3 linked regions of the Saccharomyces cerevisiae S288C genome follow. The gene in region 1 interacts genetically with each later gene. Each region holds a gene or a part of one and is shown on either strand. Other genes may lie near its edges. The genes, in order: YPL088W, YOL029C and AZR1.

Evidence for each region.
Region 2: mutations in YPL088W (region 1) and YOL029C together harm fitness more than expected from each alone (negative genetic interaction), as found in Saccharomyces cerevisiae (one large-scale study listed by BioGRID).
Region 3: mutations in YPL088W (region 1) and AZR1 together harm fitness more than expected from each alone (negative genetic interaction), as found in Saccharomyces cerevisiae (one large-scale study listed by BioGRID).

Annotation. Positions count from the first base shown.
Region 1 is NC_001148.4:380,182-383,656, forward strand, and holds YPL088W (aldo-keto reductase superfamily protein), read left to right. Parts: upstream 1-1,783; coding exon 1,784-2,812; downstream 2,813-3,475. Other genes in the region: RLM1 (Rlm1p), read right to left, coding at 1-969; YDC1 (alkaline dihydroceramidase), read left to right, coding at 3,274-3,475. UniProt on the Saccharomyces cerevisiae protein: Putative aryl-alcohol dehydrogenase.
Region 2 is NC_001147.6:269,205-272,083, reverse strand, and holds YOL029C (uncharacterized protein), read left to right. Parts: upstream 1-1,663; coding exon 1,664-2,269; downstream 2,270-2,879. Other genes in the region: ribosome-binding protein MDM38, read left to right, coding at 1-81; YAP7 (Yap7p), read left to right, coding at 714-1,451; GAS5 (1,3-beta-glucanosyltransferase), read right to left, coding at 2,443-2,879.
Region 3 is NC_001139.9:940,885-945,147, reverse strand, and holds AZR1 (azole transporter), read right to left. Parts: upstream 2,343-4,263; coding exon 501-2,342; downstream 1-500. Other genes in the region: AMA1 (Ama1p), read right to left, coding at 1-3; phosphatidylinositol-3,5-bisphosphate binding protein HSV2, read left to right, coding at 2,933-4,263. UniProt on the Saccharomyces cerevisiae protein: Transporter protein required for adaptation to high stress imposed by low-chain organic acids, in particular by acetic acid, and for resistance to azoles, especially to ketoconazole and fluconazole.

The sequences.
Region 1 (3,475 bases):
TACCGGTCTGGCGGACAATTTCCTTCTTGCTTTGACAGTCTGCTGAATAGAGTCTTCCAAAGAATTAGATGGTGACTGAGTGTAGTTGCTGTTGTCATTATTATTGCTGCCACTATTGTTAATTTTGTGCTCCTGTTTAGGGGTCCTTGAGGATGCATTTGTAAATGGCTTACTGAACTTGTTCGGTGAAATGGAAATGGGTGGAGGACGACCATTAAAGGAAGAGTTTTGAAAGCTTGGTAATTTTGGAAAATCCATCGTGGAAGGAGAAGATGAACTGGATGAAGGCTGGTTAAGATTGTACATGCTACTATGGTATGGTCTCGATATATTTTGCTGCTGTTGCTGTTGCGGAGTTCTACTTATTTGCAAAGGATCCGGTTTCAATCTTTTCAAATGTTGTAAAGGCGGCAGCGCGTTCTCAGGATGACGTTTATTTTGCTCACTACCATCCATCTTTGAAATGAGTGCGGTCGGGGATAACAACTTCATGTGTGCACTCGGTATATTTTTATCAGAGGCTTTTTTATTCGAATGCATATTTGAATTCCTCTCAAAATTGCCATGATCATCGTCGTCCTCATCATTGTTCTCATCATCATCATTTTCTGACTGGTTCATTCCTTTAACATTTGATTTCGAAGGCTTATTTGACATAGACGACCTGAGTAGGTCTTGATTTATGTTAACGGATGCACTTTTGTGAAAGTCTCCATAATCGGAAGGATCTTTCACTTCGTGAAGCAAGTTTTTGTCATTTTGGTAGTGATAGATTAAATCATTCGTATCCACAGAGGAAAACTCATAGAACGTGTTATTGGACCCCAGTATAATGACGGCTATGTCTACTTGACAAAGAACGGATAGTTCATGGGCCTTCTTAAAAAGGCCAGCTTTACGTTTTATAAACGTGACAGCCCTATTTCTGTCATCAGAAATTCTCTGGATTTCAATCTTCCGTCTACCCATGTTGTATCTATAGTATAGTTTTGCGACACTTTAATATTTAAGTTTTTTTCACGCTTCAGCCTGTTTGCTCCGGGGGATATTAACCTCACAACGTGATAGAAACCTTGAAAAAAAAAAAGAATAATTCTGCTTGCCAGCTTTCAATTACTTTAACGAGTCAAAAGTTGAGTTGGCTATCAGGAGTAGGCAGTTCTAATTGAATCAGTCGTTGAACACTTTAGAACAGGCTCGCTTCTTTCTTACGTTTCTTTTTGTCTGTCCTTTAATTATTATTGTTCAGAGGAAGATCGAGCTGTTTCTATTATTAGCTTTCATCTCTTCCGTTTTATTTTTATCAGAAATCTGAAGTAAATTTTTTTCTTTCTTTCTGCGGCTTGGCATTCATCACCCGGTGATGCTGCGCCGTTAAGAGAGCCCAATAATGATAAGACGATTTCTGCATTTAATATACGACTGAGACAGACTTCGTCACCGTGGAAGTATTTTTTGCGAACGTGGAAGTATTTCACCCACGTATGGCAGGCAAGAACGCATTTTCAATAACGTTATTTCCACGGAAAAATGTGATTAGTGTAGTAGGTTAGGAACGGGAGATAACTCGGCCGCTTGGTTTGAATTTGTTTCCCTTCGATTTTGTTTTCATTGCTTGAGTAAAAGAAGCTAAGCTAACATCTGCCTTATTCTTCTCAGCCTTTTCGTATATATATATATATATATATATATATTAGGACCCAGAGAACAAGGTATCATATATTAATTGTCTTGCCAACTATGTAATTTGGCTGTTACGGAAGACCCACATCAGGCGGCAGAAATGGTTTTAGTTAAGCAGGTAAGACTCGGTAACTCAGGTCTTAAGATATCACCGATAGTGATAGGATGTATGTCATACGGGTCCAAGAAATGGGCGGACTGGGTCATAGAGGACAAGACCCAAATTTTCAAGATTATGAAGCATTGTTACGATAAAGGTCTTCGTACTTTTGACACAGCAGATTTTTATTCTAATGGTTTGAGTGAAAGAATAATTAAGGAGTTTCTGGAGTACTACAGTATAAAGAGAGAAACGGTGGTGATTATGACCAAAATTTACTTCCCAGTTGATGAAACGCTTGATTTGCATCATAACTTCACTTTAAATGAATTTGAAGAATTGGACTTGTCCAACCAGCGGGGTTTATCCAGAAAGCATATAATTGCTGGTGTCGAGAACTCTGTGAAAAGACTGGGCACATATATAGACCTTTTACAAATTCACAGATTAGATCATGAAACGCCAATGAAAGAGATCATGAAGGCATTGAATGATGTTGTTGAAGCGGGCCACGTTAGATACATTGGGGCTTCGAGTATGTTGGCAACTGAATTTGCAGAACTGCAGTTCACAGCCGATAAATATGGCTGGTTTCAGTTCATTTCTTCGCAGTCTTACTACAATTTGCTCTATCGTGAAGATGAACGCGAATTGATTCCTTTTGCCAAAAGACACAATATTGGTTTACTTCCATGGTCTCCTAACGCACGAGGCATGTTGACTCGTCCTCTGAACCAAAGCACGGACAGGATTAAGAGTGATCCAACTTTCAAGTCGTTACATTTGGATAATCTCGAAGAAGAACAAAAGGAAATTATAAATCGTGTGGAAAAGGTGTCGAAGGACAAAAAAGTCTCGATGGCTATGCTCTCCATTGCATGGGTTTTGCATAAAGGATGTCACCCTATTGTGGGATTGAACACTACAGCAAGAGTAGACGAAGCGATTGCCGCACTACAAGTAACTCTAACAGAAGAAGAGATAAAGTACCTCGAGGAGCCCTACAAACCCCAGAGGCAAAGATGTTAAGTTAGATTTTCATGGGCCCACTGATATATAGAAGGCTAAATAACGAGAATCATATATACTGTAACATGACACCTGCTGATTTTTACTGATCGTAGCCATTCGGCTCATATTACTTCATGTCCCTTTTTTAAATCCCTCGTTCCCGGAGAGTGGCATAGCATGTCCGATAGCGTACGCCAACCTACAGAATCAGGGGATCAGATTTCCTGAAAGCAACTTATCCATCAGTTTCTTTTTATAATGCCATAATGACAGGTGTGCCTTTCTTATTTTACTTCGCTTGCTTTCTTTCTATTGCATGCTTCAATCTTTGAATATTTGCTAATAGTGAAAAAAAAAAAGGAAATAACTATCTGGTTTATCTGCATTGTTCTTCGTTTTTCAATTCAAGAATTTAAGCAAAAGGATATATCATAGAACCTAGTGAATTTTTAAGAAAGTAAGATAAAGAAAAAAATCAAATGCTGTTCAGCTGGCCTTATCCAGAAGCCCCGATTGAAGGTTATTGGGGCAAGCCAACTTCTCTGATTGATTGGTGCGAGGAGAATTATGTCGTATCCCCCTATATTGCAGAATGGTCAAATACTATTACCAATAGTATATTCTTAATGACCGCCTTCTATTCTACATATAGCGCTTGGCGTAATAAGTTAGAAACAAGGT
Region 2 (2,879 bases), on another chromosome or scaffold:
GATGAAGAGGAAGAAGCAAAATCTGTACCTCCCATTCCGGCCGATCAAGCTGCGAAGACTTTTGTCATTAAGAAAGATTGATATTAGATCAAAGCCTAAGAAAAAAACTAAAAAAAACTAAAAAAAAAAAGTCAATCGGTTCTCTTTTCTCTGACAACAATGGCAAAAGATCAAAGAGAAGCGTACGTCACGGCAAAACCAGCGACCCTTCAAAACTAAATTATTATGCATGTATATAATAGACACCCTATCTAAACTACCGCCTTATTTTTTTTTTTATACAGGAGCAAAGTGTCTTTTTTGTGATGGCCACGAGGGTCCTTTCACTCATGACTCCTTAATCAGCATCTTATGAGCTGGATTTTCATATATCGGCGATTTTTTTCATCGGTAATGCACGCAGTAAAGCTGCTCGCTCGAGAAAAATTAGTAATATATGGAAGAAGAAGCATAAGCATAAAAGAGAAAATCCGCTGCCCCACCGTAGAAAGCAAACAAGGCTATTGGTTATTCCTCTTTTCACCTGTACTTCAATCTGTAGCACATCATCATAAGAGGCTTGAAAGTTGCTCAAGAACAGTTTCAACGGTTTTTTCTTTTGAAATTTGAAAATTGCTCTTCGTTTGTTGAGCCGTTATCAAGGAAGTAAATCATCAATTAAAGAATATAGAAAGGCACAAAATTTTGTCATTTACGCACACTTTCAATGGATCATGAGACAACGAAGGTCTGTAGTAGCAGTTAGCGTAAAGCCCAAAGGCTTCAAATTGGGGCATAAACAGGGTTCCATGTCTACGACGTCTCCACCTCCATCCTCACCAGATGGAAATGTGAGTACATCAGGACCGTCAGCTATTAAGTTATCCAAGAATTGGGAGTTACCACAGCGCCTAAAACCGGGCCGCAAACCGAAATCCAAGCGCGGGGATGCATCAGCTAATAATGATGGATCGTCCAAGATAAAGAAGGTTCAAACTTCCAACCAGAAAGACCAAATGACCACAAAAGATCATGAGAACGAAGGCGCAAAAGGTCATGAGGGGAAATCTGATGATGAAGGCAACGGAAGTGGTGATGAAAACGGTGTCGATAGCGTGGAAAAGCGAAGGAGGCAAAATAGAGATGCGCAAAGAGCATATAGGGAACGCAGAACAACAAGAATCCAGGTTCTGGAAGAGAAGGTTGAGATGCTACACAATTTGGTCGATGATTGGCAAAGGAAATATAAACTGCTGGAATCTGAGTTTTCCGATACAAAGGAAAACTTGCAAAAATCAATAGCATTAAACAACGAATTGCAAAAAGCCTTGCCTTTGATTGTTAATACTCCATTTCAACAGCAGCCAGAAAACCCGCCAGACAATCCTATTTCGATATTAGAAATGGTAGAAAACTTTAAACCAATCGGCGCTGTCAGTTTAAAAAAAGGAAAGCTGAAGGCCCATTGTTAACATCTCATGTGCCCGCGGTATTAACAGACCAGTCTTTGTCTGAGATTGATATAGCCAACGATTATCAATATCTGAGCGGCAGACAGTTTAGTTCAACGAATTCATCGCTTGATGGCCATATTAATTCACCTCTGTCTTCATGCAGCAGCAGTATCAATGCATGTGCAGGCAGTGGCAACAAAAAAATAAAATGTTGTAGGAATAAAGATGCCATGAAACCAGTAACATGTTGCAACCAAAAGAATAACATAATGCCATCCTTAGTCCCCGTTTGCTGTTCAGAAAAGAAAATAGAATCCGATGCTAAGAAATCAATATCGAAATGCTGTGGAGACAAAGAAATCTACGATAGCGAGAATAGACCGATCACTAAAGAGGATGGGTCATGGATACCTGGAAGCTGCAAGCAATGTAGATCAGACCCCCATAGTAGGAATTTTTGTCAATCACTTTCGAATAAATGTAGTTCAAGCTCTTTCTCTTCCAACAGTGCGTTGTCACCGGATCTAAATGAACAACAAACTGACGTAAATTACAATTCAATCAAGCTACCCGAAATATGTTCCTGCAAGAATGCACAAATGAATGCGGCTTCCGATGCAAAGAGGTATCTGCCGATCAGTTACACATATCAAAAAATCCGTCAACATATGCAAAAAAATAAAAGTATCCAAGAACAACTAAATCCTGAGGATTCAACTTCGATCTCATCAGCGTTAGAGAACATTGCATCTGGATTGCACGTTCGTGGACAGAAAGTAGAATTGCAAAGCATCAAGGATGCATTACATAAGATGGACAAAAACGTCTTGGAATGATGTATTTAGAAAGAAAAGAAAAGTGGAAGCATAAATAGTGCATATAGATATAGGTATATATATGAATTTTTTAATAATAATATTAATGATGTTTTTTTATCTTAAGAACATTAAAAGTAAGCGGCGCTAACGGAATAATTAGAAACAATGTGGTAAAGAACGGGGGTGAAAACTCATAAAACCAAGTTATAAAGTTCTGCCAAAGCACGGAATATCAAAGGAATCTCAATAATTCCGGCAGCACCCTTTGATTTCGAGGACGATTGGCTGGACGAAGTAGCAGATGCGGCAGATTTTAGCAAGCTCGTTTCGCTAGCAGAAGGGGAGGAGGAAGATGCCTTTGAAGTCGAGGATGATGATTCAGAAGATGAAGAAGCGGAAGATGAAGATGAAGAGGAAGAAGAGGATGAAGAGGAGGTGTCGTCGTCTTCTTCGTCGTCATCGTCCTTAGCATCACAACTTTGTTGGGTGGCGATTCCGGTTCCCATAGGAGAACCTGCTCCAGATGTGAAGTAAGCAGAAGCAGCACTTGGCATAGCAGGCAAAGTGTTATTAGCTTCCCAGACACCCTTTTCATAATCAGGACATGTAGAATAGTTGTTGGAAGTAC
Region 3 (4,263 bases), on another chromosome or scaffold:
CATATTTTTTTCTTTTTTTCTGATCCAAAGTTTTGTAAAACTTTAAAAGAGTTATATAAGCAAGTATTATTATCGTTGGAGGAAGAAAATTTGACCTTCCTTCAACTTTTGATTTTTTATTTTTTTGTTTCCAAGGATTAAAGTGTTCTTTGAGTACTAATCGTTCATCATTTTATTTTATTTTTGGCGCCTTAAAAATGGAACAAGGCAGACGCCGAAAAATACAAAAACAAAAGTCGAAATAAAAAGGGAAACTTCTATTGAAGGTGACATAGAGGCATTGACGCTCTTGCTATATGAACGTCGTTTATCATACCAGTATAAAAATCTAAATTAACTATTTAATAGCTGTACTCATACTGTCTCGGATTACCCTCTTACTGTTATCGTTAGTTGTGGTACACAATTCAGCAAGCTAAACAGCCAATTACTAAAAGTCATGTTTATTTTTTCTGCAGCTTTACACTTTGAGGCTCGCCACCTTCTAAATCGTGCTTAACTTATCTCAGGCTTGCTGTGACTTTCTTATTTGAAGCAAAAACAGCAAAAATGAGAGATAATGCATAAAATCCTAATGCCATGTAAAAGACGTCAGTGAGAGATTCAGAAATTATATTGCCCAATTTGGAATGAGAGCCATCGAAATTGGTCTGCCTATAGATTACCAGATTGTCTACCGTGGTACCATCTGGGAGCTGAATATTAGCCTTGGTTAATTTCTTGATAGCAGCAGCACTGAAAACAGTGTTAGAGATGACACCTCCCAGTGCTTGACCTAGATTTTTGCAAAATGTGTTAAAAGTGGTAATAGAGACAAAATCTGATCGAAAAGTTGGGCTCTTCTTGTCTAACTGAATTTGAGAAGCGAGCATGGAACTTTGTGCCAAACCACCGAAAGCAACGCCAGGTAATATCAAAAGGCCGATGTGAGCAGAGTTATTGGCATTATTGTTCAATAGGGTTAATATACCCGCACCAACAACACCAAAAATGCTTGAAATAACAATAATCGGTTTGATTTGGCGGGTTTTGTCGGTGATAGCACCGCAAAGTATTGCTGTAACGACTGTAGAAATAATGCAAGCAACCAGGTGTACAGCGGCTCTCCAGGCGGAATCATTGTAAATTAATTGGAAGTATTGCACAATATACGTAAACTGACTGATATATCCTGCACAAGTGAGAAACAAGGCTATATTAACCGTGAAAATACCTGGTTTCTTGATATTTGTCCATGACATTAATGGTTGGTAATGTGGTGTTGCTTTCACTATATTAAATTTGGGGAAGACAAGGAAATCATAGATACCTGCTAACACTACCAGGACTATACCGATGATGAAAAGAATAATGATGGATGCAGAGTTCCAAGCATACCGGTTACCGCCAAATGTGAAAGCCAATAGAATACATGTGAATCCAGCTGAACAAAACACAAACTCGATAATATCATACATGAAAATCAATTCCATGAACGGCTTTCTCCACCCATTAAGTTTGCTAAACCCTTTGATTTTCAATAAATGATATGCTACATTCCGAACAATTTCGATAAACTGTGATGGAAATTTGCGGATGTTATCCATTGTCTCTTGAAATGTACTTAAACCTGGGTTATAAAAGAACAGGAATAAGAAAAATGCTAGGCCACCGATCGGTAAATTAACATAGAAGCACCATCTCCATGTGACGCTGGAGGTGAAAACTCCTCCAAGGAAAGGCCCAACAACAGATGCAATAGCAAACGAACAACTCAAAACAGCAATTAGTATGCCTCTCTGCGACTCCTCTACCAGGGTTGAACCAATGACGAACGATAAACTTTGAATACCACAACCGCCGACTCCAGCAATAACTCTACCACCAATGAGCATACTCATTGAATTTGCTAAAGCAGAGATCAGCGACCCGATTTCAAAAATGACAATAGCAAATAGCATGGTCTCCTTGAATCCGATAGGTGTGGCAATTCTTCCCCATATCAACGCCAACAGAGCGTTTGGTAAGCTATACCCGGTAAATAACCACCCGATCTCAGAGTACGATCCAAACTGTTTAGCTACTTCTTCAATGATTGTAGAAACTATCATGATATCCAAGGCTGCCAGAAACAGCGACAAAGCCAATGCTATCAAAGATGCGTACAAGATAAACCCTTTAGGTAGTTCATTACTTTCGCTGGCGTTGTCCTCGAGCACCACGCTCACGTTTTGTTTTGATGTTGACTGCGTAGAATTTCGTCTCACAACATATTGTTTTTGCTGTTTCTCGTTCTGTTGTTGTGCTTTCTCACCGTAGTATGAGAGGTCGCTCATGCTGTAAGTCTTAGGTTCGCCTTTCATTGGGCTGCAATTTAGATACTAATGTAGACGTGGTGTTACTACAATTGTAGAAGAAAAGATACAAGATTTAAAGGACGTTGCAAGAGGGTACGGAAACTCTAGCATTATATATAATCAATTGATACAGTGCCGATTCTTTGATATAAGACATTTTTCTTTAAATTAATGTAGTGGTTCTGCTTGACACTTTTTATTGTATTTCCAGCCATAGCATATAGAAGCGCGGAAATACAGCGGATATCCGCTAGTTGGCGGAAATAATGCAAATTGGTAAGATCCTATGGTAACAGTGCAAGAAAGGGGCCTGAGTTAAAAAGAGAAAATGAGCCTATCCTAATGATGATAGCCAGGTTCATATTAACGTTGTTTACCTTTGTGTTCAAGATCAGGGGCTTTTGGCAGTATCTGAGCGAAATGAAATAAAGAAATTGATAATCACGTGATCACGGCTTTCTGGCTTGTAAAGCCGGTTATATTTATTTACCTTAGTAATACGTACTGCGGGGGCTATTGTTAAAGGGAAGAGAAACCAGAAGATCTGGAAAGGCAGCGATTATTAGAGGACAACTATAAGCATACATAACTAGCAGATGGATGTTCGTCGACCTATAAGGGAGGCAGTCAACAACAGGAGGAAACCAAAATTTTTGAGCGTTTCGTTTAACCAAGATGATTCGTGTTTCAGCGTGGCGTTAGAGAATGGATTTCGTATTTTCAATACAGATCCATTGACTAGTAAGCTATCGAAAACATTTAAAGAGTCTGCGACCAACCAATCCAGGGGCACTGGGATTGGCTATACCAGGATGCTTTATCGTACGAATTACATCGCACTAGTCGGAGGTGGTAAACGACCAAGGCATGCTCTAAATAAACTGATCATCTGGGATGATCTTTTGCAAAAGGAAACGATTACTTTGAAGTTTATGTCTTCCATTAAAGACGTGTTTTTATCTAGGATTCATATTGTGGTAGTCCTGGAGAACACAATAGAGATCTTCCAATTTCAAACCAATCCTCAAAGAATTTGTCCTATTTTGGATATCCCTCCCAATGGATCAGTGGACTATGTCGTTTGTAGCAGCAAACATCTCCAGTCGCAAGCATCGCAGTCACAGTCTAAAATCTTAGAAATCATTGCATTCCCATCGAATAAATGCGTAGGCCAAATTCAAGTAGCCGACCTATCACAAATAAAATATAATTCACAAAACCCGAAGGAATCAGCGCTTTTGCCCACTTCCATCATTAAAGCACATAAAAATCCCATCAAACTGGTTAGACTGAACCGTCAAGGCACCATGGTAGCAACATGTTCCGTCCAGGGTACACTTATAAGAATCTTCAGTACGCATAACGGTACTTTAATCAAAGAATTTAGAAGAGGGGTGGACAAGGCGGATATTTACGAGATGAGTTTCAGCCCCAATGGTAGTAAGTTGGCCGTATTGTCAAATAAGCAAACATTGCATATTTTCCAAATTTTTGAAACAACCAATACAGAAACGAATACACCAGACCACTCTCGTGCCAATGGTTCGAGCCATCCCTTGAAAAATTATATACCGAAGGGCCTATGGAGGCCCAAGTATTTGGACTCTGTGTGGTCGATATGCAATGCTCACTTAAAGAACCCAATCTTTGACGCTCACAGAAATGACAACAGTGGTGATGTAACTCACGATAACGAGTTCTATAAAGACAGATGTAGAATTGGCTGGTGTCAAGACTCTAATAATAGAGAACAAGACGATTCGTTGGTTCTGGTGTGGCAAAATTCTGGGATATGGGAGAAATTTGTTATTTTGGAGAAGGAACAACAAGATTCATCGAAAACGCATTATTCATTGAATGAAAGCTTGAGGAACGAAGATACGAAATCAGCGGGTGAGCCCACCAGATGGGAGTTGGTGAGAGAATC